Arabidopsis thaliana: one gene and its partners. The protein of the gene in region 1 interacts with the protein of each later gene in a pairwise test. Each region holds a gene or a part of one and is shown in the gene's direction. Other genes may lie near its edges. The genes, in order: CYCA3;3, AT3G56370 and AT5G56040.

Region 1 (9,288 bases):
TCAGTTATGACGACGGTTCACGAAATGACAAAGTCTTTAGAGTTTAGAGTTTAGACATTGATTGGTTTGGTTCGGTGTTATTATAAATAATTAAATAACCGAAAATTCAGGAAGTATTTGAAATTTAAACTTTGTGTGGTGGAGAAAACTATAGTCAATATAAATATTTCAGTTATAATCTTAAACTTACGTTCAAATCTTTTTATGAATTAATTACGGTTTTATTTTAAATTAATTACATAAAATACAATTAATAATAAAAATTTCAGCTAATTTTATTGATATCAGATGAAGATAATATCAGTATATAAAATACAATAAATGTTTTAAATATAAATGTTTTGTGGAAAATAGTATATATATAAAATCAAAATAAGTAGGGTAACTTGATTTTTTCTTACAAATTATTTTCAACTGAACTAATCTTTAGGTAATCCAAATATTATTTTACAAAATCTAAATAGGGTAATAATCATAAATGACGATAACCACTACATTCTCATTCGACTATCTTTTCAAGCGACTTTGTATTATCTTTGGAGAGAGTGGAATGAGAGGAAGCTCACAACAAGAAATGTCGGACCCATATGCAGCTTCTAGCCATGATCGAGAAAACCATTCACTCTCGCATCATGTCATTGTGTTACTACGAGAAACCAAAACTTAAAGATTGCTTCAAACTTTGTATGTGACGAGACCCCTACATTAGTCACTGCCAAGATCTGTCCTCAAATCTTTGATCTGTTTTGTTATGTCTTGTTTTTGTATATTGTCACATTCTCATTGTAAATTATTAGTTACCAATCAACAAATTTTACATCATAAAAAAGCAGTCAAGAGATTTTTTTATTTTAGAACTATTTGGCAATCAAGTTTGAAAAATATATTGGGTGGAGGATCAATTGAACATGTGGATGATGAGTAAAATTAGTTTTGAGTCTAGTTAAAAGGTGATCAAGGTCTATTATGATATTTGGTGAGCTTAGAAGAAATTAGAAAACATAATCGTTTCTCAACCGAATGTATATTCGCAACGTTTCTTCACCTTGAATTTGCCTTGGGTTGGCTCTGCTCTAAGGAGGTGTCTTTGTTGTTTTTGATTGTTTGTTGTGTTTCTTCACTTTGATAGGATAAAGGTTTGTTCCGCATGATGTTCCAGTGAGCTTTCAGTGTTGGATAGAAGCGGTGATTTGGTCTAGAATGTCTATATTATATTGTGGGAACTGATTTTTCTAGTTTTATGCTTGAGAATGGTGGCCTTTGGTGGCCAAAGGCGGCTTTTCTGGATGTTCGTAGATGCTCTTTTGCTGTCAGGTAAGTCTATTCTAGCGGTTTTGTTTTTGTGTTAGTTCTCAAAAAAACTATTAGCGTCTTTTTGTTTTAAGGTTTTGAAGATAGACCTCATAAAGAAATTGCTCGTGGTAACAATAATGAAGATTCAATTTTTGTTGGAGATGGGACAATTATACAAATGTCTGAGCCTCACGGTTCAACATTGATGTTCTTCATCGAACCTATGCTAGCTGCTTTCCACTTAGCTTTCATTATAGTTTTCGTAAGTTTATTTAGTTATAGATTTTGGTCTTTATATCTTCTTTGTTTTTTTCTGTAATCGTTTTCACAATTTAGACCATACTAAACAACATAAAATTCTCAAAATTATAAAATAATCACTATAAAAAAAAATAAAAAAGGATCAAAATTTTATTTAAAAAAACCCTAAAAAACTAGTTAGTTTTAAAAAGTCATGATCTTGTTTAAAGAAAATTGTACATTTAACAATTCTAAATATTTTATTAAAAAATATAAGATTAGTAAAGTACAAAATATCACAATCTTTTTTTTTTTTTTTTTTTTTGTCAAAGACAAAATATTACAATCTAAATTATAAATTTAACAGATGTCTTCGAAGGGACAAAAATGTCAAATGTCAAATTTGTTTCTGAATCGAACCACCACGGCCAAAACCCCAATCTTTACCGGTCAAAAACATTTTCAGGCAAAATCTGAAAACAAAAAAACATAAATCACCCGCCCAAACAAATTTCAGAGAATTTTCGCACCTCCAAAATTTTTTAGTTGACTCCCAAAAAACTCAAACTCCAAAAAAATCACAGAGAGCGCCACAATCAGAAAAAATGGCGCTTTTGCTCTTCCCTTTTTCTTCCCCTTCTCACCTTCTCTTCTTCCACTCATCCGATCTCTCAATCCTCTCAAATCTCAAACTCTCTCTTCCCATCACTCTCTCGCTCTCTCTTCAATCTCATCTCAATCATGACAGAGCAAGAGATCTGCGTGAGGGTTACAAGAGCGGCGGCGAAACGAAAAGCTTCGACGGCGATGGGTATTGACGGAGATCGGGTCAACAAGAAGAGAGTTGTTCTCGGTGAGCTTCTAAACGTCTCCAATGTCAATCTCTTGGCTAATCTCAATCAGAAGAAAGAAACCCAGAAGCCAAAAAGGAATCTTAAACCTCCTCCGGCGAAACAGATTAAGTCAGCTCCGGTGGCTATTATTGACCTAGAATCAAAATCTGACATTGATTCTCGATCTGATGATCCTCAAATGTGTGGACCTTATGTTGCTGATATCTATGAGTATCTTCGTCAACTTGAGGTAATAATGATCTTGTGTTTTGGATTTAGAATCATTTACTTAGTTCTTGAATTGGATCTGAATTGGATTTGGTGAATTCAGGTGAAGCCAAAGCAGAGACCTTTACCAGATTACATAGAGAAAGTTCAGAAAGATGTAACACCAAGTATGAGAGGTGTTTTGGTTGATTGGTTAGTGGAAGTTGCTGAAGAGTATAAACTTGGATCTGAAACACTTTATCTCACTGTCTCACATATTGATAGATTCTTGTCTTTAAAGACTGTTAACAAGCAAAAGCTACAGCTTGTTGGAGTTTCTGCTATGCTTATTGCTTCGTAAGTGTTTTATGATTCTTCCTCTCTTGTGTTTGTTGTCATTGTTTATGTATGGAAGCTAATGGAAGTATTGAAATGTTGTAGGAAGTATGAAGAGATAAGTCCTCCTAAAGTGGATGATTTTTGTTACATTACGGATAATACGTTTTCGAAACAAGATGTTGTGAAGATGGAAGCTGATATACTTCTTGCTCTTCAGTTTGAGTTGGGAAGACCAACGATTAATACTTTTATGAGGTTAGATTTGTGTGTATTGGTGATGATTACTTATTGGTTTGTCTTAGTTTCATTGTTCTGATTTTGTGTGTTGGTGTTTGTGTAGACGGTTTACTAGAGTTGCACAAGACGATTTCAAAGTTCCACATTTGCAGCTAGAGCCTCTTTGTTGCTATTTGTCAGAATTGAGTATATTAGATTATAAGACTGTGAAGTTTGTGCCGTCTCTGTTGGCTGCTTCTGCTGTTTTTCTCGCTCGGTTCATCATCCGTCCGAAACAACATCCTTGGGTAAGCATATTTGTCTCAGTCTCTTTCAGGTTTTAGTCTGCTGTGGTCATTGTTTAGAATGAGACACTAATGATTTATGGTTGTGAATATGTAAACAGAACCAAATGTTAGAAGAGTACACAAAGTACAAAGCGGCTGATCTACAAGTGTGTGTTGGAATCATACATGACTTGTATTTGAGCAGAAGAGGAGGTGCTTTACAAGCTGTTAGAGAGAAATATAAGCACCATAAGGTACTTAAACATTACACATTGATAAAATCATTTGAATAAGCAGAGCTTTCTTGATACTTAATGTTGCTTCTTCTCGGTACAGTTCCAATGCGTTGCGACCATGCCTGTTTCACCAGAGCTGCCGGTTACCTTTTGGGAGGATGTTACCATTTGATCTGAGGTTATGCTATCTTAAGCAAATGTTACGGAGCTGGATTACCGAATCTTGTTTCAAATAGTATAATGGACACAGATCTTCAAGTGAAGCTAGAAGAGTAAGAAATATAGAAGTGAAGGCAGGAGCAAATAAGTCTGCGTTATGTGAAGATGTGTGATGTATTATTGAAATCTCTTCTTTTTTATTTACAAAATTTTAGTGTGAAATTCGGAATAATATAATTTTATACAATTATGCAATATGATATAAGTATTTATGTGACATGATCTTATTTTGTTTAAGCATTGAGCCTACTACTGTATGTTTATACTTAATGAAAATTCCTAGAGGGCTAAAACTCTAGAAGACATTGTTGTTAATTTAAAGAAACTAATGAAAATCTCAAGAAACAAAAGAAAAGAAAAGATTGTCTATGAGATTGATAATCAAGTTTACTAAAGAGAGATTAAACTTGAGAAACAAGAAACAAGGGAGCTTTAGCGATGACTTGAAAAGTTTCGGTGTGAAGATCCAAAGACAAAACCATGGTTTCAACTTTCACCCTCGTGTGAACCAGTGAAGTGAGCCATCAACATACACAGGATCTTGGGTGTGAGAAACCAGATAAGGGGATGCAGGACAACGTACCTCCAAGTGTTGGTTGCAAAATCAAAAACTTCACAAGTTGTAGCGTTCTCGTTTAGGCCTAACTCAGCGGAATAAGCAAATCAAATCGAAATTATAATTAGGGTTCTACTTTACAATTTTCTCCAAAGTAAAATTACAAGTTTTAGATTAAAAAAAGATAATTATATGTAATTACTTTTTGAGATTTTTAATCAAGTAAAAAAAGGTAATTTCTCTAAATTAACACGTTTTGGAACGATTTTTTTTTTAATTTCCTTTTTTTAATTACTTGGGATTTCGTGTTCAACAAGTTATTGTTTTGGGCTTTGGTTTAATTTTCCTTTTTTTTTTAGTCTGTCTCATCTCTCATCTGAATTCTGAAACCTGGTTGTTTTAGGATAGAGTCTTCTACTCTATATATAGGACTTAGTGTAAGATTTATTGTTGTTCTTTCGAAGATGTGTTCTTGTTTTTCGATAAATATGGTGTCTAAGAAAGATAAACAGATTCATTCCGACCATAACCCTCAAGATGCTTCCCCGGTAGAGTGGGCGGAAATTCGACATAAGCTACTTGCGTTTCAAGAGAACATTCAATCAGGCTCTGACATTGACGCTAGGTCTGATGATCCACAGATGTGTGGACTTTATGTCTCAGATATCTACGAGTATCTCCGTGAATTAGAGGTACGTAATAAGATCTCCTACTTGCTCTGTTTTTGGACTTAGAACATTGACAAGTTTCAATAGGTCAATTTAGTATACTTTATCTGAAGAGTTTCTATGATTGTTCTCTGTTTGGACTTAGAATTTGTGGATATGTTCTGAAGATTTGTGTTTTTGGTTTGGTGAATATTCAGGTGAAGCCAAAGCTAAGACCTTTACATGATTACATTGAAAAGATTCAAGAAGATATAACACCAAGCAAGAGAGGTGTTTTGGTAGATTGGTTAGTGGAAGTTGCTGAAGAGTTCGAACTCGTGTCTGAAACACTCTATCTCACTGTCTCTTACATTGATAGATTCTTGTCATTAAAGATGGTTAACGAGCACTGGCTTCAGCTTGTGGGAGTTTCTGCAATGTTTATCGCTTCGTAAGTGTTTTTGATCCTCTTGTATTACTCTCTTTGCTATTCATTGTCATGTTGAAACTTACATATGGAGTGGCTTCTCTTTTTTGGCATTTGATATAAATAGGAAGTATGAAGAGAAACGTCGCCCTAAAGTGGAGGATTTTTGTTACATTACGGCTAATACTTATACGAAACAAGATGTGTTGAAGATGGAAGAGGATATACTTCTCGCGCTTGAGTTTGAACTAGGAAGGCCTACGACAAATACTTTTCTAAGGTTAGAATTGTGATGAATAATACTGACTTTTGGTTGTATCTTATGGTTCTTTGTTCTCATCTTTTGTTGTGTTTGTGCAGACGGTTCATAAGGGTTGCACAAGAAGATTTCAAAGTGCCAAACTTGCAGCTAGAGCCTCTTTGTTGCTATCTGTCAGAACTAAGTATGTTAGATTATAGTTGTGTGAAGTTTGTTCCATCTTTGTTGGCTGCTTCTGCTGTCTTTCTCGCTCGATTCATCATCCTTCCTAACCAACATCCTTGGGTAAGAACTTTTGTCTCAATCTCTCTTTTTCAGGTTTATATGTTGAGTTAATCTTTTGAATGAGACACTAATAATCTATGGCTTGTAATGTAAAACAGAGTCAAATGTTGGAAGAATGCACAAAGTACAAAGCGGCTGATCTACAAGTGTGTGTGGAGATCATGCTTGACTTGTACCTGAGCAGAAGTGAAGGTGCTTCAAAAGCTGTTAGAGAGAAATACAAGCAACATAAGGTAATTGACATATTACAAATTATGAAATCATTTGATTTAATTAGTAGTATCATTTATACTTAAATGTTGCTTTTTATGGTACAGTTCCAATACGTTGCGGCAATTCCTGTCTACCAAGAGCTTCCGGTTACCTTTTGGGAGGATGTTGTTACCATTTGATCAGAACCAATCTTTCATTTCCCAATTGTTACTGAGCTCGATTACTAAGGGACACTGATCAACAGTTGAAGCTAGAGGAGTCATATGTTATATGTATCGAAGTGAAGCAGGAGCAAATAATTTGTGTTGTGAAGATGTATTGTGTTATTACTTGATTAACATTGTGGTGACAAATTAATGTGTTACTCTGGAAATTTATACGATTATGCAATATGATAAGAAGTATTTTATGTGACATGATTTTATTTGTTTAATCATTGAGCCTCCTATGACAAAATTTATAAGTTCCTAGAAGGCCAAAACTTTAGTAGTCAATAATTTACTTCAAATGGTATCGAAACCAGATGAATGGGAAGACATGACAAGATAAGCCTTTAGACTTGCTATGATCCTTGACAAAAACAAAACAAAACAGAAATTGTTCATTTAAGTCAATAAAAAGGCAATTTCTACAAGTGAACCCTTATTGGAAAGATTATTTGGTAGAATTGGTCTGGTCATTTCCAACATACGTTTATTAGATAATAACAGATAGGCGGATCATATAAGATAGAGTTGTCAAATCGGGGTGTCCATGTCCATTAGCCCAATCCAATAATGTCTATTTTGATATTGGACGAACATAGTCCGTATCCATTAACACCTTTGTCCAATCCAATAATGTCCATTTTAATATTCGATTTTTCCTCAAATCGATTTAACCTAACATTATAAGACTATTGGGCCGCCCATGTCCATCATATCTACTCTGCTAAAGTTCATATCCGTTAACGACTATAACCATTAAAGCCCGTTTTATAATGGCTTTATCCATGACTCGGTCCATTAAGTATTGGACGCAGGCAGCCCACGGGCCGCACACCCATTTTGACAACTCTAATATAAGATAAGTGTCCGTTGGTGTCAATTATTTTTGTTAAATTAATAGCTGAATTTGTCGAAAAAATTATATAGGAAATGGTGTTAAATGAATTCCTAGTTCAATGATTTTTTTTTATTATTGTTTAGACAAAATATTTTCATATGGTTTAGTGGATTTATTTTTCTGTATCCAAAAAAAAATCAAAAATGTAAAACTAAACCCAAAAAAAGTATAAAAAAAAAACAAATGCAAAACCGATTTTTTTTTAAATTTTTTAAAAGCATCTCACTTAATTCCGAATCTTAACCAAAACCGAAAAAAAAACAAATCAACTACTAATAATTTCCTTAATTAAAAGCATTCATTGATTGTTATTTTCATCTTTAATTAAGTGAATAAAACAATAATGATTGTCTAAATATAGGAGTGAAACTTTTTGAAGGGTAAAAAGGAGAAAACAGCCGCCAAATAAATGTGGAAATGAAATCTGCAAAAAAGCCCCAAATTTTGGATACTCAAAAGTCAAATCCCTAAAAATTTCGAAATCGGAAAATTTACACAGAGAAGCGCCATGACCTAAAAATCTCAAAACTTCCCCAACAAAAATGGCGCTTTTACTCAACCCATTTCCTTTTACCTACCTTGTACATTACCCCTTTTCTCAAATCTCACTTTCCCACTGAAATAACCCCATGGCGGAGAATCAGAACTGTGCGAGGATGACGAGAGCGGCGGCGAAACGAAAAGCGTCGTCCATGGCGTTAGACGAAAACCCAGTTAGTAAGAAGAGAGTTGTTCTCGGAGAGCTTCCGAATATGTCCAATGTCGTTGCTGTACCCAATCAAGAAAGAGAGACCCTTAAGGCTAAAACAAGTGTTAATACCTCGAAGAGGCAGATGAAGAAGGCTTTGATGATTCCTGAAGCTAGCGTACTAATCGAATCGAGATCTGTTGATCCTCAGATGTGTGAGCCTTTTGCTAGTGATATTTGTGCTTATCTCCGTGAAATGGAGGTAAAAAAAAAATCATCTTTAGTAGATTTCTTGATTCCATCATTTTTGATCTTAGTGATCTTATGGTATCAGTTTATGTTATTTTGGAATTGGTACAGTGTTGGACTTGATATTGATTAATGGGTTTGGTTAAAGTTGTGGATTTGATAAGTTTCTGAGATTTTGTCCAATCACAGCTTGCTCTTATGGTTATATGATATGTTTGGAGAAATTAGAGATGATTGATACTTTGGGACTAATGGTTATTGTTTTTGGATTGGTAAAATTTTCAGGGGAAGCCGAAACATAGACCACTACCTGATTATATTGAAAAGGTTCAGAGTGATTTAACTCCACACATGAGAGCGGTTTTGGTGGATTGGTTAGTGGAGGTTGCTGAGGAGTACAAGCTTGTTTCGGATACGCTTTATCTCACTATCTCCTATGTTGATAGATTCTTGTCTGTGAAGCCTATTAACAGGCAGAAGCTTCAGCTTGTGGGAGTTTCTGCAATGCTTATTGCGTCGTAAGCATCTTAATCCTCTTTGTTTATTGTTGTGTTGGTGTGAAGAGTCTTAGATGGTTGGCTTATGGAATCTTTATTTTTGCTTTTAAAAAAGTAGGAAATATGAAGAGATAGGTCCTCCTAAAGTTGAAGATTTTTGTTACATTACGGATAATACATTTACTAAACAAGAAGTGGTGTCGATGGAGGCGGATATACTTCTTGCTCTGCAGTTTGAATTAGGAAGCCCAACCATCAAAACATTCCTAAGGTTCGACTCTGAAACAGTCTGGTGTTTAAACTTATGATTTCATGGTTTTACTTGCCCTTGTTTTGATTGTTATTCTCTTTTTTATGTCGTGTTTGTGCAGACGGTTTACACGGGTTGCACAAGAAGATTTCAAAGTAAGCTCAAAATCGATGTACCTGTAAACTGTGGCATTTGCATCTCATAATTTCTATTGTTAAATCTTCTTTTTTTTCATGCCTTTGC
Region 2 (11,447 bases), on another chromosome or scaffold:
AATATCATTGACATTAATATCTCCTCCATCGTTTGATTATATCAATTCTATTGTGGTTCGATTATGCCTTCTTTTAAGTATTCACACAAAACATATGTAACACTTATTTTTTACCTTACAAATTTTGTTTTTTGCTTCACCTGTTTGTGTATGCATCTATATACACACATAAAAATATATTATAGAGCAAGAGGGACATGTAAAGAAAGATTGGATCCTATGTTGATTCGAATTTGAAAAAACAAAGATTGTGAAATATTTCAGAATGCGACGTATACGTAATACAATCTCCAATCATATAATGACTTTCGTCTCAATTCTTTTATTTGCGTTGACATATTGGCAAAACATGGATTAATTAAACTAAACTTTGCAATTGCTCCATCCCCATAACAAACACTTTAGTAATTGATTTCTTAATACTTAATCGATGTGACAAGAAGAAGATAAGGACTAGGCTTGTTTTTTTTTTTTGGTTAACAAAAGTGAGAACATGTTTTAAAGCGTTAGATCATGTTTATGTTTTCTATCGTCCGACAATTGATTTAACTTTTTTTGGAGGGTAAGTGTTTTGATAAACACGATAGAAGAAGAAGCAGATGCACCTTGATTTCGTCATCATAGTCTTGTTTTCAATATTTGTAGCTTTTCAACGTTAAAGGCGATCTTGGAAGTCCATGCGAAGACTTGGGAATTAAATGTTGAAATAATTGTCTGATCAAATATAATGGGCCCAAAAACGATTAAACAGGACCCACAAAGCTAAACTGCCAATAATGAATTCTAGATTTCTTGCAATCTGACCAAAAAGAACATTTCTAATTCATAAAACTAATCTACTCAGAGAGATCCTTATTGGGCTTTTATCTCTTCTCCACAAATCTTTAAAGATCAAGACAATCTTTGTCATTGTTTAGGAATACATCTTTAATTTTCTCTTATATTAGAGAACACAAACAAAAAAAAAAAAAAAAAAAAAATTCTATGAGCATTTGAGTCTAAGCAGATCTACCTTCAGCTTCTGCAATTTAAAAGATGGCATTTCAGTTTCTCTACATCAGATAGTTTCAGTGGCTTCTGCATAAACATCTGTGCTCCACTCGCTAAACATCTGTAATATCATCAAGAGATTACAGAATCTTAATTCACCATTGAGGAAAACAAAACAAGAGAACAGAACAATTAAGCAATGTGTCTGAGGAATGATAAGTTTACTTGTTGATGCGGGTAGGAATGTTCTCTGAAGACAATATCACAACAGGTACTTCCTTTAGATTCGATGATTCCTGCTGCCAATAATAAAAACACCATAGAAACAGAGACAAAGAAAGAGATTTTGTTAGTCTATATAACTCTATATTGATCTTGTCAAGAGGACTTTTCATTTGTGAGAAATTTCTTACACACCTTCACTTTCTTAAGCAGCTCAAAACCTGTCATTCCTGGCATACAATAATCAGTGATGATGAGATTCACCTTCATTACCTGAAAAAACAGTCTCAAAAGGTCATATTGGATGTTATACAAATGTCTCCTCTCCAAACCAATCAGAATGTTTCATGGGGAAGATTGAGCTTACATTAGTCAATGAATCAGTCTGTTGTGGATCTCCCAAGCCTAAATATTCTAAAGCTCTAAGCCCGTTTTCTGCAGTTGTCACTGTACAGAAAGTAAAATCAATTTCTTCATTTCAGAGGCAATGTTACCATATAGAAGAAATCTTGGTTCTTGAAATTTAGAAGGAAAAAAATTTGAATGATAGTTTACCTTTGCAAGAAGAGATCTTGAGGATTCTCTCAACAAGTTTACGGTCAATTAGATTATCATCTACTGCTAAAACATGAAGCTCCTCCTCCATTGACGATAAACAAGAATCACTTCCACTTCCACAGCCCTTATTCATCTCCTACGATTACAGAGAGATATCGTTTTTGTTCCTTGTGAGTCAAGCAACAAAGAACAAAAATCTGCACAAGAAGGAGGAGAATAAATGAGTCAGACACTAATACATTATACTGCTTTTAATTCTCAAACCTAAAGAAAACAGAGACAAACTTACAGAAGAAGGAGAGAAAAACAGAGAAATGATACATTAAAAAGATTTGAGAATGGATGTGTATATATATATATATATATATATATAATTATGTTGTTAATTTATATATGGATATATAGGATAACAATATATCAAGAAATGATTTGATATGATTTTATCTTCCTTATAATTTAAGATACAACAAGTTGTGGTTTTGTTCTTGGTATTTGATTCTCTGGAAACTGGTAAGAAACTTGGTGTTTTATGTCAGTGACAGTGCTTTGTGATCTTGTACGATGATAACGAAAATCCAAATATTAATTTTTAATTTCCCATTTGTTTGGCTTTTCTAATCGTGCGTATAATGAAGATGCAAATTTATAATCATATTTAATTTTCAAAATGGATCACAAATCTGTATCAGAATCTCAGTTACGAAGTCCCCATGATTCTCTAAAATTTAAGATATATTATCATTTTTAGTATTTGAATTTTTAAACTATGGGCTTGTTCGATGTGTATATTATTATTTGTCAATTTTAATTATCGTGAAAACCTCAAATTTTAATACGAAATCTTTGACCGATATGATAGCTGCATAGTTGCATGGGCCAGCCTTGTAACGCGTTATAAGTAGCTGCGAGTCGCATTTCTTTAGTTCAATTTGTTTTCTTTCCTGAAATATAATTCGGACTGTAGAACTTTGATAAGCCTTATTATTATCTGAGCCCATTTATCGTTTCTCATTAATGGGCCTCTAATGGAAGAGTTGGACCCATCTTATCCGTAGTTATTTACCATGGAATAAAAAATGAAACTGTAAGTAATCAATAATTAAATAAATATAAGAAAATTTGGAATTTTACATCACCGGAAAGTAAATATTTTACCTTTTAATGGCTGGTCCTAAATGCCAATCCTGATATGACAGAGGAAGATTCGAGTAAAAATTGAATGTGGAAATAAATACTAACTGTAGAAAACAAACAAAGGGTAAATTCTTCATATAGATGGAAAGCGAAGAACAGTAAATGTGAATTCGCTACGGTCCGGCTCACACTGCCCAAAAAATTCCTCGAAAGCTCTTAAAAACAGTAGTAAATTTGACCCTATATTTTTAGAATACATTAAAAAGTAAAAAAGGCCTCTTTGTTAAATTGCAAATAGAAACAAATAGTAAATTCCAAAATTTCCATGAAGGGTTGTTTTCCTTCCATGGGGAAAAGAGTTATTTTTCATTGTTTATTTCATAATAAATAACTTTTACTGTCAAAAGGAATATAAAATTTTAAAACATAGGTATGGGAGAGAGACCGAAGTCTGATAAAATGTCTTGACTCGGACCAAATCTCAAACGAGAAAGACAACAATTAAAAAAATTCCAAGAGCATGCTTAACGGATTATAATATTTTTTTCAACATCATTTGTTCTATTATCTGTTTTTTTTAATGTTTTATTTTATGGCAATAAGTGTTTGACACTTAGTTATTCAACCGCATTTCAATCTGTAGGAAAAGTTTACATAATGTATGATTCCTTGCACAAACAGAAGATCCAAAATTTACATCTGTAGCTCCTCCAAGTCAACCAAAATCCTTAGGTTTGTGATCCAATTTCAAAACCCCATAATTTTTCAAGAAAATTTGTAAACCCATAATTAATAAGTTTGATGCATTGACTACTGACCAGGACATTGTACATAAATGAACAATAACATTATGGTTGCAATTATTAATGATCTCTAAGCACCACAAAATATTTTTTCCAGGACACCATCATCATTCCTCACCAACTTACTTTAATGTTCTTACTTCAAAAAACAAAATAGAGAATCAAAATAAAAAAATGAAAAACCAAAACTATGGTGACCACTTTAACCACTGTCTCTTTCTGCATAATTTTTTACCCAAAATACCAATTCTCTGCATGAGAATAACAGAACCAACCACATTCCACATTATTTCCATTTTATGTGAAAGATTATTTTCTAATTAGTTGAATCATACCAAGAGGCCACAGAGCAGCATGTAAACCCATTAAAGAAAGTTTCTATTATTTGGGAAGGATAATTTAGTCATATTCAAATTTATAGTTTCTTTCTTTATGAGTTGGCCAATCATTTATTCATTTTCCCACTTACTATACCAACACAAAATAAAAATAAAAGCCACGTGTCAGCCAAGTCGGATTCGTCAAACCCAACAAAATAAATACACGTGTCAATTAAAGAGTTTTAATGAGTCCACCCACCTTCCTCGGGCCCCACACTCTCTTCTTTCCAGCCCGTTGATAAAGGCAGCTTTTAATTACTCTCTCTGCTCTCTTTTTTTTTCTTTATTGGCTTTTTTCTCTTCTTCCCAAATTCACTCTTCTTTTAAAGCTACAAAACCTAACAAAGTTGAAGAAGAAGAAGAAGCTCGTGCTCTCTCACTTTCTTTTCCTACGGTGTTTTTTTTCCCCCTGAGCTGCAACATTCTTCGTCGGAAATCTTCCCGGAGAAAATTCTTACTAGGTGAGAATTCCTCATTTCCAGATCGTAACTGTCCAATGACTCCTTTACTTAAAAAAACTCAAGTTATTTTGCTCAACATTTACTTCAGCCATTCACTTGAAGGTTGAATATTTCTTCAATTTCTATGAATTTCAAGTAAACTGTAGCTACTTCTATTCATATAACTAGCCTTTGTTTTACCGGATTTTTCTTCATTGTTTTTTGCTTTGTTTTGCTTCCTCCGTTGGCCGAAATGTAGCCGTTGAGATAGATTTTTGTTCTTTTCTTCTACTAAATCTAACGCCTAAGAATACGAACAAACAAAGTTTTTGTTTTGAGATGTACTGTTTTTTTTTTTCTCTTGTGTTCACCAATTTTCTTCTTTCTAATTTCAGCTCTACATAACTGAAAATGGAGGTCTTCCGCAACTAAAATCTGTTCAACGGAGAAGAGGGTTGTGGAAAGATGTACAAAGCACTGATTTTTACAGTCTTGTTGGTGTCGGCAGTAGCTCCGGTGAGATCTCTAGACCCGCCTTTAAACGACGACGTTTTAGGGCTCATTGTCTTCAAAGCCGATTTACGAGATCCAGAGCAAAAGCTAGCTTCTTGGAACGAAGATGACTACACTCCTTGTAGTTGGAACGGAGTCAAATGCCATCCGAGGACGAATCGAGTCACTGAGTTAAATCTAGATGGCTTCTCTCTGTCTGGTCGAATTGGTCGTGGCCTACTTCAGCTTCAGTTTCTTCATAAGCTCTCTCTGTCCAACAACAATCTCACGGGAATCATTAACCCTAATATGCTGCTGAGCCTTGTTAACCTTAAGGTTGTTGACTTGAGTAGCAATGGCTTGTCTGGTTCGCTTCCTGATGAGTTTTTCAGGCAATGTGGGTCATTAAGAGTTTTATCTCTGGCGAAGAACAAACTAACGGGGAAGATTCCGGTTAGTATAAGCTCGTGCTCGTCTCTTGCTGCTTTAAACTTGTCTTCCAATGGTTTTTCTGGTTCTATGCCTTTGGGGATTTGGTCTTTGAACACTCTAAGATCACTTGATTTGTCGAGGAATGAGTTAGAGGGAGAGTTTCCAGAGAAGATAGATAGATTGAACAACTTGCGTGCGCTTGATTTGAGTAGAAACCGGTTATCTGGTCCTATTCCTAGCGAAATTGGGAGCTGTATGCTGCTGAAGACTATTGATCTTAGTGAAAACTCTCTATCAGGAAGCTTACCAAATACATTTCAGCAGCTCAGTTTGTGTTATTCTCTGAACTTGGGAAAGAATGCGTTAGAAGGTGAAGTTCCAAAGTGGATAGGAGAAATGAGGAGTCTTGAGACTTTGGATCTTTCCATGAATAAGTTTTCAGGGCAGGTTCCAGACTCCATAGGCAACCTTCTAGCACTGAAAGTTCTCAACTTTTCTGGGAATGGGCTTATTGGTAGCTTGCCGGTCTCAACAGCCAACTGTATCAACCTCTTGGCCTTAGATTTAAGTGGGAATTCACTAACTGGAAAGCTTCCCATGTGGCTATTTCAAGATGGTTCTCGTGATGTGTCTGCATTAAAGAATGATAACTCTACTGGAGGTATCAAGAAGATCCAGGTTTTGGATCTCTCCCACAATGCATTCTCTGGCGAGATTGGAGCTGGTCTAGGAGATCTTAGAGACCTGGAGGGATTGCATCTGTCCAGAAACTCTCTTACCGGCCCCATCCCCAGTACCATTGGGGAACTAAAGCACTTGAGCGTCCTTGATGTGAGTCACAATCAGCTCAATGGAATGATTCCTCGAGAAACAGGTGGAGCTGTTTCTTTGGAGGAGTTGAGACTTGAAAATAACTTGTTGGAGGGAAATATTCCATCTTCCATCAAGAATTGCAGTTCCCTTCGGTCTTTGTAAGTCTCTTTTGCTTTAGGTTGCATTCTGTTAAGATTTTCCCATTGAAGATTATGTCTTAACTGTGTTCTGTTTCATGCTTCTTTCTACAGGATCCTGTCACATAACAAGCTGCTAGGCTCAATTCCACCAGAGCTCGCTAAACTTACAAGACTCGAAGAAGTCGACTTATCATTTAATGAACTGGCCGGAACACTTCCTAAACAGTTGGCTAATCTCGGCTATCTTCACACATTCAACATATCTCATAACCATCTCTTTGGGGAACTACCTGCAGGTGGAATCTTCAACGGTTTATCCCCAAGTTCAGTATCAGGAAACCCGGGAATTTGCGGTGCTGTTGTCAATAAGTCTTGTCCTGCCATCTCCCCTAAACCGATTGTGTTGAATCCTAATGCAACTTTCGATCCTTACAATGGTGAAATAGTGCCTCCAGGTGCTGGTCACAAAAGGATACTGCTTAGTATATCTTCTTTGATAGCCATTAGTGCTGCTGCAGCCATTGTGGTTGGTGTAATAGCCATCACGGTACTTAATCTGAGAGTGCGCGCATCAACGGTTTCAAGATCAGCAGTACCGCTCACGTTCTCAGGCGGAGATGACTTCAGTCGATCTCCCACTACTGATAGCAACTCAGGGAAGCTGGTGATGTTCTCTGGTGAACCTGATTTCAGCACTGGAACACATGCTCTGCTTAACAAAGACTGTGAGCTTGGTCGAGGTGGATTTGGAGCGGTGTACAGAACAGTTATCAGAGATGGGTATCCTGTAGCTATCAAGAAGCTCACTGTCTCGAGTCTTGTCAAGTCTCAGGACGAATTCGAAAGAGAGGTGAAGAAACTTGGAAAACTCAGGCATTCGAATCTGGTTAAACTCGAAGGATATTACTGGACAACTTCTCTCCAGCTTCTGATCTATGAGTTTCTCTCTGGTGGGAGTTTATACAAACAGTTGCACGAAGCACCAGGAGGTAATAGTTCGCTTTCTTGGAATGATCGGTTCAACATTATCCTTGGTACAGCGAAATGCTTAGCTTACTTGCACCAATCAAACATCATCCACTACAACATCAAATCGAGCAACGTGTTGCTAGACAGCTCTGGTGAGCCTAAAGTAGGAGACTACGGATTAGCGAGGCTGTTACCTATGCTAGATAGGTACGTGCTGAGTAGCAAGATACAGAGTGCGTTGGGATACATGGCTCCAGAGTTTGCTTGTAGAACGGTGAAAATAACAGAGAAATGTGATGTTTATGGATTTGGAGTCTTGGTCCTTGAAGTGGTTACAGGTAAAAAGCCTGTGGAGTATATGGAAGATGATGTTGTGGTTTTGTGTGATATGGTGAGAGAAGCTCTTGAAGATGGAAGAGCAGATGAATGTATTGACCCAAGGCTGCAAGGGAAGTTTCCGGTAGAAGAAGCGGTTGCAGTGATAAAGCTAGGGCTTATTTGCACTTCTCAGGTTCCATCAAGTAGACCACATATGGGAGAAGCTGTTAACATATTGAGGATGATCAGATGCCCTTCAGGGAGCTCAGATGAGTTGGGTTCAAGTTGAAAAGAAGGTTAAAGACTAACATGTTTTTTCACCAAGTTCCGGCGAAGAGGAATCCGGTTTGTTCATTTGGGGGTTTTAAGAGAAATCCTTGTTTGTGTTTGTTTTTTGATAATCTCTTATGTGTTATCTTTTGTGTCTGTTAGTTTCAATTTCAATGTTTGTAGCTTCTTCTATTTATTGTTCTTGTAACATTTTTAGGGCTGTATCGGATTTGTCTTCACCGGGTTCCATAATATGGGACTCTTTCGATGAAATCTTAAGTATTATTATGAAAGAAAGCCTGTAGTCTTCATTTCAGGTTCTGAACCATCTTTTAGCAGTCGTAGAAGATAAGAGCTTTCTTGTGAGACAAATAAAAACTTAGGGTTGAGAAAAACAAGAATCAAGATAAAACTTAGTGACTTCGTGTGATGATGCTCTCTGAACAAAGAGAGTATAAAATAACTTAAGAAGCTTCATTTGTTGTAACCATGTGCATGGGACTCTGTGAAAACTCAACAATTTAATGGGTCTGATCTTTTATTGGATTATGGGAATCGAAGAAACGTCTCAAGAATCTGTAATTAAAATACATTATTCATTAGTATCTTTTTGAGGGATAATATAAGTACATTTTTAACAGAAGAACCCTAGTTTCAATGGCCGATAAAAGAGGAATGGAGCATGCCTTGTCTGAAACAGACCACGTTTTTCTCTCTTGGAGTTGGGAAAGACGAAATTAGTACTACAATCTACGTTGTCTAGCCTCGGTAATTTGCAACATTTTGACATTTTAACTCATAAGTTAAAAATCCATTTCAATATTGTACATGATAGCATTAAAGTGAGATGGCATCTAACGTTTTGACTTTCTAAGCCAAATATGCTAACACTTTTTTTTTCCATTTGAAATGGAACCTGAAAAAATAAGTTACTTAAGGGACATTTTCCATTTATAATTTTTTTCTTTTTCCATATACAGCTTATTATTATATTACCGATCAATTCTTCGGTTTATAACTAGGTTGGAGAAAAAAATAATTCATCTTTCTATACACATTTTTTCATGTCATTAATATATACAGCTTATTAATATATGAGTTAATTCCTCTAGGTTAGCTTATACAGTATATATGTCATTTTCATTTATTGGATTATTTCCAAAAAAATCCCAAAAAGGAACCTTGTATAAACCAAAAAAATAAAAAAATAAGATTGTGAAATGTTAAAAAAAAAATATATATAATGGTGATCATAATTAAGCCATAACTTAAGAGTCTTAGATGGTGATGCCAATAATTTAGAGGTGGTTGATTAAGTGTAATCATTCACTTCCGTAAGTCCGATCGTGAAATGTCTTGTGCTGCTAAATGTGTATCGCTTGTCAAAGTCATAAACAATGAAACTCCTTGGCCCCTTTAGATTAGCTTATTGTATGTCATTTCAATTTATTGGATTCTTTCAGAGAATTCATAAAAAAGAAGAAAATAAACATTGGATCATTCATAGCCCATAGGAACAAAGGCCTATACCTTCCATATATTTACGGGCCTTAAAATCTAAATCCAATATCCAAATCCATATAAATGATCCAATCAAACAATCCATAATTTTCCATCACGACCATGTTTTATTCATTTTCTCTCTTTTCCATCTCCGGAGATCGACTCCGGAATTTTCCGACGGAGGTTATGAACTCTAATGCAACTTCTGGCAGTATCAGCTATAGGCTTTGCACTATGATCACTAACAGAAGTTTTAAATCCACCTACACTTTTGCTTATTGTGGTGTTAATGAATGCATAATTGCATATAGATCTTACACGGATTAAGTTGTCTACTTGTCTTGATTCAAATCCTCTATACTACAATAGCAACAAAACTAACAATGTTCTTTGATTAAACAAATCACTATAACCAACCAACTTTGACCATTTTATTTACATTTATATCACCAATCCAAATTCCTAAAAAATGTTCTGTATTAATAACAAATGTAATTTGATCATCCATAAGGGTTTCATAATCAAAACCCAAAGAGTATAAATAATTTACAGTGCAAATCCTTTGACAATCACTGCTCATTGACCAGTCTGCACCAACCACGAATTATTCAACTGTGACATAGCCGTTTCCCTAAAACTCTTGACCTTAACCAAACAGAAATGGGTGCAAACCGTACCCATACCCGACCGGACCCGGGTCGTTTTCAATAGATAACAAACCGGCCCAGTATCCGATCCTCTTCCTTGCGCCACAATCCCCCACGCGCTTGTATCTTCCCCACACGCGCCACCATCGTGATCATCATCATCTGCTATGTCACCGTCTGCGAGCTTCTCCACCAATATAACTCCTTCCGGCGTCCTCTCTTCTCCTCTACCCCACTTTCCTTCCATCTCTGTCCAATCCTCCGCCTTTGGATTCGTTGCCGTCGTCGTCAAACCACCATTAGCCTCCGCGTATAAATGCATCAATAACGGCGACTCTCTAAGATTCTTCACGATCTCAACCACCGAATCTCTCAACCACACATCTAGCTTCTCCCTCGACACAACAGATCCACCGCGTTTCCTTCCACCGATCCTTTCAATCTTCACCGCCGCAGACGGTGGTGACAAATCCTCCATCGACATCGAAATCTTCCCGATCGCACACATATTCCGTCGATTCGTCACTGGAACAACACATGACGATCGAGAATTCAAATTTAACGTGCGACGATCACAACGAACGGCGCATGCACTTCCTCCTCCGCAACAAATCCTCGCAGACGTCGCCATCTTCGCCTACCGGAAGATTCAATTGCAGAGACGAATAGGAATCGGAGAAGATATGCTGCGATTAGATTGGAGATTGCTTCACGCTGACGAATTCTCTTATAGAGTCAATCACACCAATGGTTGCTTTTAAGAATACGTTTTACTGACGCAGCCACACACAATCCAATGGCAATGATGAATTATTAAATACCTAATTTTTTTATTTCTCCAGCACGGAAGTTGTGTAAGTTGTTTGATCGGACGGTTGAGATTTAGAGATGGTAGAAATCGCGTTTATCTTATTCTTCACGTTATCCTCAAAAGTCTGAGGTGGCTTAAGTAGGTGATTATTCCCTGTAAAGTGTTGACGATATAGACTAATTAGATATCAGATATGGACCGTTCGATGTAAATCTAACGGTTGCTATTACGTGAAGCCGGTACGAGATGGAGAACGTGGCGACGCGGTTTAGCTGTGTGCATGGCTTGGGCGGGCACACGCTGGTACTGGATTTAAATTGTGGTGAACACGTGTTATCTCTGTTATTTATAATCTAGACCATAAGATACGCCACGTCAGATTCCACGGTGGACAATGTCTTTTAGAATAGATTGGGCCCGTCGTTTTTTATTTTTGAGGAAAGTTTCGGCCTTTTCGGTATGGCCCAGACCACTAAACTATTGTTATACTTATGTGCGTTGATCTTTCGCATATAAGGATTGGAT
Region 3 (11,594 bases), on another chromosome or scaffold:
CCTTGAAGACGATGCTGATGCCGAAGGTAGCAAGATGGAGGAAGTCGACTAATTTATCACACAAAAGTCGACTAAATTATTAGCGGTGTTATAAGACTATGGTTTTCTTTTTTTCTTTTCGTTAAAACTTATGTTATTTTGGTGATTATCTTCACGAATTTTTTCTATGGTTTTATTGTTGTGAAGATATTTCTCTGAACTCGGTTTTATGACAAAGATTCTATTATGCTCAAGAGACTGATTCTTACATATCCAAGCTGAATTTTGTCAGGGTATTAGTAGTAACCTAGTTATGATTATATCTTCCTAATTAGAATTTAGAATAACAAATTATAAGAAAATAGAATAACACAGAGATCATATCTTCTGGCATACATATCTTGCTGTGAATTATATTGCATCCGAATTAGAAAAGTTGCCACAGTTAAATTGAAATGTTTTCACTAAAAAAAAAAAAAACTACGCTGCCAATTGCCAATCTCTTGCTGCAAAGTGCAAACAAATGGTCAATCAAATTTTTAGATGGGCCCAAAATGTCCGTTGTTGAATACTTTGGGCCTTAAAATCGACCCATCAGTCAAAAAGACTCGTCAATATTAGAGACTGGCTTTTTTGATACAAAAGATCACCCAATAATGCAAGATTAAGCCTAAATTTATTATTTTGTCCCAAAAAAAAAAAGCCTTAATTTATTAATGTAATCAAAATTAATTAAGGGAAACCCCACACTGCTTTTGCTCTCAAAATTTGACCGTTAGTGGAGACTTATTATATAATACCACGAACTTGGCGTTAGTGCAAGTGAAACTCTTTAGTCTTTAGTTAAAACTTAAAAGCAAAGGCTATGTTAGGTTAAGACAACGGAGCCTATTGATTAACTTATGTAATTTCTTTTCAATAGTCGTATTTTCCTCTCTTTTTTTTTTCTTTTTTTTTTGGCACCTTCCTATTTTCTTACCAAATTATTATTGTTCAGTATTTTGTATATAGGAGTAAACTGAGTGATTACCATGATTTCAGCTAATATTTAACGATTATACTCACCTAATTTACAGTTAGCTAAACTGAACTTTCTAAAGCATCATATATACCCAAGCATGTATTCATATTTGGGAAAATTTTAGACTAGCAATATACTCATTCAGAATTCATATAAAGTTAATTTGAGGCATTTGATGTAAACAATTATTGATGTACTTTATTTTATTTTTAGACTTTAATTAGAGTTTAACTAATGTGAGCGAGAAACCCGAGTCCTGGAAATACGGAAGAATATTTGACCCTTTAATTTACACCTTTCATCACACGTAATATCATCCATTTTATATTATGATCCACAAACAGCAAAGGCCCATTAATCTCATTATATTTTAGATTAATTGATTGCAATTGCCCAACTTCTCCACTCAGCAATGTTAGTTTTAAAGACACATCAAGTTAGTGTATTTTATTTTTAATCTTTCTATAAAAAACAACACTTTGTTTTTGTCTATTTCTTATTCTGTGAAAAAGAGAAATGAAAAAGTAAAAAAGATAACAAAAAGGCTGGTTTTTCACGGTGAGAATTTTTCATGGTCACGCAATAACTTAAATATGAACTATTAAAATAACTAAGATTGAAAAATTAGCATGATCAAAAGAAGAAGAAAAAAAAGACAACATGAAGCGGAAAGGAAAAAAAAGAAAGCTGAAAATCTAATTAACAAGATTGCGGAAAAGGATTAAAGGACGAAGAAAAAGAGTGAAAGGTGAATACATATATAAACTCATATTATATATTTCCAAAACATATTTTTTTGACCAAGAGTTAAATGGTGTGCCTCTTTTAATTTTTAAAACTTAAAAGTAACAAAGTTAACTCTCTAGTCAGTTTAGTTAAGACTAGGGATGTTTTCATGAAATTGAGTTTCAACTGAGTTATGTGTTTTCTTTTAACATATATTTCTCTTATTACATCCTATATAGTTCTCACTTTAGATTGTTGGTTTTTTATCAAGTAAGTTACAAAAGTTATAGATTGCTTTGGTCTCTACAGAGAATGTTAACAATGAAGTACTTGCGATAACTAAAAGAGAGTTACATAACATCAATGAAATGAAGTTAAAAAGAAAGAGTTTTGAGTTTCGATCTAAAAACTAGGATTGAGAAATATCATTTGGTTCTGAAATAATTGGAGGAAAAAAGGTGCAACGAAGGCGAGAGGCAATCCTTTGGTAGAAGGAATGAGAGCACGTGTGGTTGTTGTCATCACAAAAAAGGTCACTATTATGATTTCCCTCTTAAAGCCATATCTCATTATCATTGGCCCCATCTCATTTCACATCATATACATACCTACAAACACAAAATGTCTACTTACATACATTCATGCATATATATCAGTTTTTGTAAATATACACTTTCCTAAATCAATTATACACTACAAACTATATATAATAGGGTTCACACTTGATATGGAGATGTCCCAAATTAGTAATAAAAAGTTTTATCTAACAATATCATCCTATATGTCCTCGACGAAAGAAATCATCATATTCCTATGTGCGTGTGGATTAGTTTTTTTCATAGTTGAAACATTCCATGGCTCATAATCTTCTTCTGTATAATTTCACTAAATGGTACATCACATATATTTGGATTTTGTTTTTCGATTTGAAATGTGTATGAGCTTTGATTATATATTGACTATGTGATTCGTCGTCCACATTAATTTAAGCATGAATCTAATTATTCGCCTTTTCTAAATACTAATATTAGAAAATTTCCTCTTTTTTGGATTGGTTGGTTTTCCATATTATCAGCAAGTATCTAAATGGTTTTCTTACTACAGTGTCTTCGTAGTCGTATGAGTGGTTACAACCAATGGAATTTTATCAACATGGCCACTCATAAGACGTAGCATTATCATGATCAACCATAATATATGTTATATTCATTGGATCGACAAATTAACAAAGAAATAAGTAGTTTTGATCGATGCCCACTTCTTTTCACACTTCTGCCACTACATTCTTGGACTGCTTCTGCTACTAAATACCCCACAGTGGACCAGTTTTTATTATTATAATTGAATTTATAAAATTGATACAGACAAATGCTTGTATATACTTAATTAGCAGAAAGAAAGAAAAAAAACTAAGTAAAAAATTGCCCATCATAATCATCGATCAGATCCACTTAATTAGTAATTTATAACACTCACTTAGTAATATTTATCCTTAGTTGCTTATATATATATCCCTAGACGTATTTTCTATTGCTCTATCATCATGTGGTGAGATCTCTGACCTAATCGAAACGTGATATAGATCCAGATCTTGTTCCATTGTCGTAATCAAGTCTACATCTTTTAATTTATCTTAATTGTTATCATCACTATTAACTTTCTTAAAAGTAAGAAAAACCATCACACTTCATTATAATAAAAACCATCACCCTTCATTGCATACATATGTGAACATGTATAATTTGGAAGCTGCTTAGCTATAACAGTCATTAATTGTCGACGACACTAATTCAAATAACGATAGATGCGATAGACAAAAGAACAATATGGACCATTTAATGATAATCATAAGATTTGAGAAAGAAATCAAAATTTTAACAAGTTTGGAAAATACAGTTGGGTACTTGTCTTTTCTCTTGCATCTTTTGCTGTCTCTTTACTTCCTTCTTGTTTGTTGGTTTTTGGCTTATTGTTTTCCCTTTTATTTTTCCTCTTTATGGACCATATTCATTTAACTCTCCCCACACATGTTCGTCTCTTATTTTAATTTTATTTTGGTATGACTCTCTTATTTATTTATTAAAACTAAACAAATACTCCATAAGTTATAAACCAAAGAAAGAAGTTATAGATCAAGGGTTGACAAAACGTTGGAGCTTAGTCCAAATGATGAAATGCCTCACACGAAATATGTACATACGTCGAATTCAAAGCGTTAGCAAAACTTTTGGTCTTAAAGTTGAGGTCATTTGTACCACGGTGCGCCTGAGAATGATTTAGACACACTAGTACTGTTTATGCAAATGATTTAGTATGTACATTTCATGTAAATGTGGTAGACCCCAAGAGATATTCGTATTTTTGTGAGAAAGAAACTTTGTTACTTGCTTACCATTAATGTAACTCTTTAAAATGAAAGAATATCTGTTGTCTCTAACTTACAACAAAAGTTACATATTACGAAACATATTACATCAATATATGATTAACATCACCAGTTTTTAAGTGAAATTTACGGTAATTAGAGTACACACTATTCCATAATTAAATACCTGCAGAATAAAACCATGTTGTCGAAATGCTTTCTCTCACTTTACTATGTGTATAGATATGCACATGCATAACCATCTCTCTACATATCTATTGATACATATTTAATCTTTTGATTCTACTATGGCATGTGACTTGAGGTGTGGTGTTATATCTTTATATATAATCTTCTTGACCTAATGATGCTTGACCCATGATCTTAATTTTAGTTTACTTTATCTTTTCCATAATCTTTTTGTTTTGTCCAGTTCCTCCTTTTTAATTTTTCTAATCAGTATTCTAAATTTCCAGTCCAAGAAATTGGATCTAAAACACCTTCATCTTAATTCAATATATGTATGAGCAAGTGTATATATGTATATGGATATTAATTAGTATTAGCATACGTATGATATAAACAGATAATTACAGCGAATGAAATGGACCGACAATGCTAGCAGAGATGAGCATTAGTAAATTTAATTAATCTTTCACATAAATTCCTAGCTTTCATGTGCATTTCACACTCTTCAAGATTCCATGTTTCAACTACTAATTTAATAATTTATATATCAGAAATCCAAAGTAGATATCTCCATCTTTCTTTCAGTTATTTACTAATCTCATTTTTACCACTATATAGCCACTTCAGACTCTCCCAAAGTAAACAAAAAAAAAAACAAATAATCACAATCCAAATTATCTAAATGTTTCTTTCGAAGCATTAGAAAACCCCAATTATGTTATGCGTCGTTTATCAATAATAGGTAGTAGTAGTACTACTAGTAGTAGCATTCAACAAATATCATTATTAGTAACTAGAAGTCTAGAAGTCATTATTGATCTGAGTAAACGTTATCTTCCTTTTGTTTCTTAAAAGATAACAATCCAGAAATAACAAATAATAGGGCCAATTCTAACATGTCATTTTCTGAATTTGATAACCTAATTTTCTTAGATGATTTATGACTATGTAATAGTTAGATCTATAGGAGTTTTTTTTTTTTACCATTTATGAATAATATTATCAGCATGCCTCATCTAGAAGCATTTACCACAGATAAATCCACTTACAAGAAAAGGAATAAATATAATTTACCACTCTTTTCATCTATATTTTTATTTAATTTTCAACTTATATAATTCTGTTTTGTTCACAAACAAATAATGGTGAAAAAATAAAGTGACATTGTTTGGAAAATAATAATAAAGGGAAAAAGGTAGAGGTGCTTTTTGGGATCCAGATCTTCCTTTACTACTTCTTCTTCTCTCTCTCTCCTTTGGTTTGCTCTGTTTTTATATATTTCTATAAAATCAAAGTAAAAACCAAATCCATGGGGTTCTTCGCTTCACAATCCCAACGCACCTCTCTCTCTATCTCTCACTTCTTCTTCTTCCTCTCCCTCTTCACCAATGCCACGTAACCCTAGATTCTGCTTCTTCCTCTTCCTTCTTTTTCACTCCTCTCTTTTCTTCTCCATCCCCTGTTTTTCCATAGACGAACAGGGTCTAGCTCTCCTCTCATGGAAATCTCAGTTGAACATCTCCGGAGACGCTTTATCTTCTTGGAAAGCCTCCGAATCGAATCCTTGTCAATGGGTGGGAATCAAATGCAACGAAAGAGGTCAAGTCTCGGAGATACAACTCCAAGTCATGGATTTTCAAGGTCCGTTACCGGCGACGAATCTCCGACAGATAAAGTCTCTGACTTTGCTCAGCTTAACCTCCGTGAATCTCACTGGTTCAATCCCTAAGGAGCTTGGAGACTTGTCGGAGCTAGAAGTTCTTGATTTAGCTGATAATTCTCTCTCTGGTGAAATCCCTGTGGATATCTTCAAGCTCAAGAAACTAAAGATTCTGTCTCTCAACACAAATAATCTCGAAGGTGTGATTCCATCGGAGTTAGGGAATCTCGTTAACCTCATCGAGCTCACTCTCTTCGACAATAAACTCGCCGGAGAGATTCCTAGAACCATCGGAGAACTCAAGAATCTAGAAATCTTCCGTGCAGGTGGTAACAAGAATCTCAGAGGAGAGCTTCCTTGGGAGATTGGTAACTGCGAGAGTCTTGTGACTTTAGGTCTCGCCGAAACAAGTCTCTCCGGTAGACTTCCGGCGTCGATCGGAAACCTGAAAAAGGTTCAGACAATAGCTCTTTACACGTCACTCTTGTCTGGTCCAATCCCTGATGAGATTGGAAACTGCACAGAGCTTCAAAACCTCTACTTGTACCAAAACTCAATCTCTGGATCGATTCCTGTATCAATGGGACGTCTCAAGAAGCTTCAAAGTCTTCTCTTATGGCAAAACAATCTCGTCGGAAAGATCCCTACCGAGCTAGGCACCTGTCCGGAGCTTTTCCTCGTCGATTTATCGGAAAATCTCCTCACCGGAAACATCCCAAGAAGCTTCGGAAACCTTCCAAATCTCCAAGAGCTTCAGCTAAGTGTTAACCAGCTCTCCGGTACAATCCCTGAAGAACTCGCGAATTGCACGAAGTTGACGCATTTAGAGATCGATAACAACCAAATCTCCGGCGAGATTCCGCCGTTGATCGGGAAATTAACAAGCTTGACGATGTTCTTTGCGTGGCAGAATCAGTTAACCGGAATAATTCCAGAGTCTCTTTCTCAATGTCAAGAGCTTCAAGCGATTGATCTCTCCTACAACAATCTCTCTGGTTCGATACCTAATGGAATCTTTGAGATTCGAAACCTCACGAAGCTTCTTCTTCTCTCTAACTACTTATCTGGATTCATACCACCGGATATTGGAAACTGCACGAATCTTTACCGGTTAAGACTCAACGGTAACAGACTCGCGGGGAATATTCCGGCGGAGATTGGGAATCTGAAAAATCTCAACTTCATCGATATAAGTGAGAATCGTCTCATCGGAAACATTCCTCCGGAGATCTCCGGTTGTACAAGTCTCGAATTCGTCGATCTACATTCAAACGGTTTAACCGGTGGTTTACCCGGTACACTTCCGAAGAGCTTACAATTCATTGATTTATCCGATAATTCATTAACCGGTTCTCTACCAACCGGAATCGGATCGTTAACCGAACTCACGAAGCTCAATCTCGCGAAGAATCGTTTCTCCGGCGAAATCCCTCGAGAGATATCTTCCTGTCGGAGTCTTCAGCTTCTCAACCTCGGCGACAATGGCTTCACCGGAGAAATCCCTAACGAGTTAGGACGGATCCCGTCTCTTGCGATCTCTCTAAATCTCAGCTGCAATCACTTCACCGGAGAGATCCCGTCGAGATTCTCTAGCCTCACTAATCTCGGAACCCTCGATGTCTCTCACAACAAACTCGCCGGAAACCTAAACGTCTTAGCTGATCTACAGAACCTCGTCTCACTCAACATCTCCTTCAACGAATTCTCAGGCGAGTTACCAAATACTCTGTTTTTCAGGAAACTTCCACTCTCTGTTCTTGAATCAAACAAAGGGCTATTTATTTCGACCCGACCCGAGAATGGGATCCAAACCCGACACCGTTCGGCTGTCAAAGTAACCATGTCGATCCTCGTAGCAGCAAGCGTCGTTCTTGTTCTCATGGCGGTTTACACTCTCGTCAAAGCTCAACGAATCACCGGAAAACAAGAGGAGTTAGATTCTTGGGAAGTGACTCTTTATCAGAAACTCGATTTCTCCATCGACGACATCGTCAAGAACTTAACTTCAGCTAACGTGATCGGAACTGGAAGCTCCGGTGTAGTTTACAGAGTCACAATCCCGTCCGGTGAAACTTTAGCTGTGAAGAAAATGTGGTCAAAGGAAGAAAACAGAGCGTTTAACTCAGAGATCAACACTCTTGGATCGATTCGACATAGGAACATAATCCGTCTTTTGGGTTGGTGTTCGAATCGGAATCTGAAGCTTTTGTTCTATGATTATCTTCCTAACGGAAGTTTAAGCTCTCTGCTTCACGGTGCCGGTAAAGGAAGTGGAGGAGCTGATTGGGAAGCACGTTACGACGTCGTTTTAGGCGTTGCACATGCACTAGCTTATCTTCATCATGATTGTCTTCCTCCGATTCTACACGGTGACGTTAAAGCTATGAATGTCTTATTGGGTTCCCGCTTCGAATCTTACTTAGCCGATTTCGGTTTAGCAAAAATCGTCTCCGGTGAGGGAGTTACCGATGGAGATTCGTCTAAATTGAGTAACCGGCCTCCGTTAGCCGGTTCTTATGGTTACATGGCTCCAGGTAAAATTCAAAATTTCGATTTTAACGTTATAAACTTATCAATTTCGAAATATTAACTTTATAACGGATTTTATTTGTTTTGTTACAGAACATGCTTCGATGCAACATATAACAGAAAAGAGTGATGTGTATAGCTATGGAGTGGTGCTACTAGAAGTTTTAACCGGGAAGCATCCATTGGACCCGGATCTACCCGGAGGTGCTCATTTGGTTCAATGGGTGAGAGATCATTTAGCCGGAAAGAAAGATCCTAGAGAAATTCTTGACCCGAGACTCCGCGGGCGGGCAGATCCTATAATGCATGAGATGCTACAAACTCTAGCGGTCTCGTTCCTTTGTGTGAGCAACAAGGCATCCGATCGGCCTATGATGAAAGACATTGTGGCAATGCTTAAAGAGATTAGGCAGTTTGATATGGATAGATCGGAATCCGATATGATAAAAGGCGGAAAATGCGAAAAATGGCAGCCGCAACCGTTACCACCGGAGAAAATTGTCAGTACTCCTCGAGGTTCATCTAATTGTTCGTTTGCTTACTCGGATGAATCCGTATAAAAAATTTTACAGGAGTTCGATTAGGGTGATGACATTTATAAAATGTGTGTGTGAATATTTATTTGTTGTCGATGATTTGTTAGAATCAGGGAAAGAAAGATCTAAGCTTAGCTTATTGTTTTGGTTTGTGAGTTTTAATTTTATTTTTTCTTGCAAACGAGTTGAAGAAAGAATGTATTGTAAAATAATTTCAATAGCTTGAAGTGGTTTATTTTATTATTTTTTATTTTCAAAATAATAATATAAACATAAATAATTGGAGATATTGGTTAACTTTGCTAAACCGAAAATTCATAGATCCAAGAATTATCCATGTTCAATAGTCCATTTTGTCTGAACATTGCAGAAACTAAATTTTGAGGAAGAGAAAGATTAGTTTGAACATTGATCCACAATTCTATTATATCAAAAAATAGAACATGATGAGTTACTATTTATAAAATTTTTGAAGGTATTTGCTTTTGTAATTTTTGAAGAATTTAAGATACAAATACTGGATGAGAAAGGCCGGGAGTGTTTGGAGTTACATACAGAAGAAAGATTCGTTCTTCTTTATTAAAATTTTTATTCAATTATCAAATTATATAATCTTTGGATGTTTGCTAATTTTGTGAAATTTATAAGAGAGGCTTTCGACGTGGGATCACGTGGACCCACGCGCCACCCATCACATGATCATGTGTTGTCTGAATAACAATGACTTTCCAGCCAACAATCACCAATTTTTATCATCTAAATACAATAAATAATATTTTTGGTTATATAATATAAGATTGAAGATGACTCGAGGCTCACATAACCTTTTTAAGCTATCAAAAAAAAAAAAAAAACTTTGTGTGCACACAATAATAAGATTGCACATGCCTTAACCAAATGTAAGAACGACAGTTTTCAGTTTTGTGGGTGTTGCTTCTCTTTGTTGTGTATATGTTTGTCTATTTAATCTCTTAAGTTCAAGAGGTTTTGATAGTGACTTCCAAAAGTTTTTTTAAATTAGTCCTGATTTTTGAGTTGCCATCACAGTTTAAATGTAGTTAGTTTAGTTGTATAGCAAGAGAAAAATTATCTTAACAAATTCGTATCCCGAACAATATATTAGTTCTCGTGTAGATGAGTAGATCCATTACTCGTGATATTAATGATTATTTTTCGTATTTTTGAAACAAACTATTGACAAAATAATACGAAATCAGCTAAAGGAAAAAAATATGTGAAAAAGGTTATTGAAGTCTCGCAACAGACAGAAGCAACAAAAAGCTAATGATGATTATGCGGAATGTACGGGAGTCCACTTCATGTGTTCGATTCGATGTATTGTTGTGAGCTAACATTACATCATCTCATGATTTTCATTTTCAAGTCTTGTGCCCATGCATCATCCATGCAAGAGTTTCTCCTAGAGATATTTAACCGGGTATGAGATCCGGATACATACATATAATGGGTTTCAAATTCGCGGGCCTAACGGGCCTGTTGTGTTTCAAATGAGTCCGTTTAAATATGTACAAGAAGATTTCTATCGTATCGAGTTAAATGACAAAATTAAAATACGACTGAGTAAACCAATTCGGAGAACCGTAATTGGTTTAACCAAAGTGTTGTTTTGTTAACCAATTTCTCAATATAACGTTTAACATTGAGGGATGCGTTTCTCAGGTGTTGGATTAGGGTTTTTTCTAGATGAGGAACGTAATGCTGAGTACGAATCTGATCTTCTAGTTCTAGGATTTCTTAATTTGCGGCAGACTGTGACCCCATTTCGAAACAATGGGTTCCTTAAGATGGTAAAAAATGATGCATCAGAAGGCCTTGATGCTTGCCGTGGAAGCTAAAGTGAATAAAACAGAACTAGGTCTATGCAGAACTAATTCTTGTTCACCCTTAATTAGGATTGTCATGTTTTCTTCTCAAAAGCCTAAACTAGGTCTTGTTCCTTTCTCATTCGTCTAGTTAGTACTTTTTTTAGTAGGCTACTGCAAGCAAGTTGATATGATGGAATGCAGATAAAAGTTAGAATTGATTACTAATTTCTTGCTGACACAAGTATTAAAATTGTGAAAGAGTCTGTGTTGTCGATCGTTGTTTCAGTCTCTACCACTAGACATTTGATGTTTCTCAAACCCCAAATTGTTAGGTCCCTTTTCTTTTGCTTTTGTCTAAAGATTTTGCTGAGAATTTGGGCTTCGTATACAATCTCAACTTTACATGCTTTTCCTGGCTAAGCTAGTTAGCCAGTCAATCTCTTGCTTAACTTTTCTCTGCCACTTGCAATTGACACTTTTGTAGCTAATTCCTGAAGTTTCCTAGAAAAAAAGTATTCATGAAGTTAAGACTATAAATTTTAAAAAGAACTCCATGTTGGCTTGTGTTAGGAGATGAATCTGCTTCCTTTTGTTCTTTTGATTTCTTTCAACCAAAAAAGAACCAACATAGCAATCTACTGTCAGATCCTTTTTCTTTTAGATTGTATCTTGTGGATCAAATATGGATCGGATCAGATTTAGTAATCTTGAAGCAAACATGAATAAGTGATAAGAACATGTGGCCGTATAAGAATTATCTCTT

Evidence for each region.
Region 2: the proteins of CYCA3;3 (region 1) and AT3G56370 interact in a protein complementation assay, tested with the Arabidopsis thaliana proteins (one large-scale study listed by BioGRID).
Region 3: the proteins of CYCA3;3 (region 1) and AT5G56040 interact in a protein complementation assay, tested with the Arabidopsis thaliana proteins (one large-scale study listed by BioGRID).

Annotation. Positions count from the first base shown.
Region 1 is NC_003070.9:17,298,762-17,308,049, forward strand, and holds CYCA3;3 (Cyclin A3;3), read left to right. Parts: upstream 1-4,914; coding exon 4,915-5,118; intron 5,119-5,291; coding exon 5,292-5,524; intron 5,525-5,627; coding exon 5,628-5,780; intron 5,781-5,860; coding exon 5,861-6,044; intron 6,045-6,142; coding exon 6,143-6,277; intron 6,278-6,361; coding exon 6,362-6,436; downstream 6,437-9,288. Other genes in the region: CYCA3;2 (cyclin-dependent protein kinase 3;2), read left to right, coding at 2,275-2,616, 2,698-2,930, 3,015-3,167, 3,253-3,436, 3,535-3,669, 3,752-3,823; CYCA3;4 (CYCLIN A3;4), read left to right, coding at 7,991-8,311, 8,584-8,816, 8,911-9,066, 9,167-9,200.
Region 2 is NC_003074.8:20,895,936-20,907,382, reverse strand, and holds AT3G56370 (Leucine-rich repeat protein kinase family protein), read left to right. Parts: upstream 1-4,302; 5' UTR 4,303-4,548; intron 4,549-4,922; 5' UTR 4,923-4,992; coding exon 4,993-6,422; intron 6,423-6,515; coding exon 6,516-7,980; 3' UTR 7,981-8,284; downstream 8,285-11,447. Other genes in the region: AT3G56390 (WRKY transcription factor-like protein), read right to left, coding at 1-29; RR17 (response regulator 17), read right to left, coding at 1,015-1,111, 1,216-1,289, 1,408-1,485, 1,580-1,659, 1,768-1,903; AT3G56360 (uncharacterized protein), read right to left, coding at 10,041-10,742.
Region 3 is NC_003076.8:22,689,382-22,700,975, forward strand, and holds AT5G56040 (Leucine-rich receptor-like protein kinase family protein), read left to right. Parts: upstream 1-5,441; 5' UTR 5,442-5,668; coding exon 5,669-8,474; coding exon of another isoform or gene 8,475-8,530; exon of another isoform or gene 8,531-8,562; coding exon 8,563-9,029; 3' UTR 9,030-9,264; downstream 9,265-11,594. Other genes in the region: HSP81-2 (heat shock protein 81-2), read left to right, coding at 1-52. UniProt on the Arabidopsis thaliana protein: Receptor with a serine/threonine-protein kinase activity.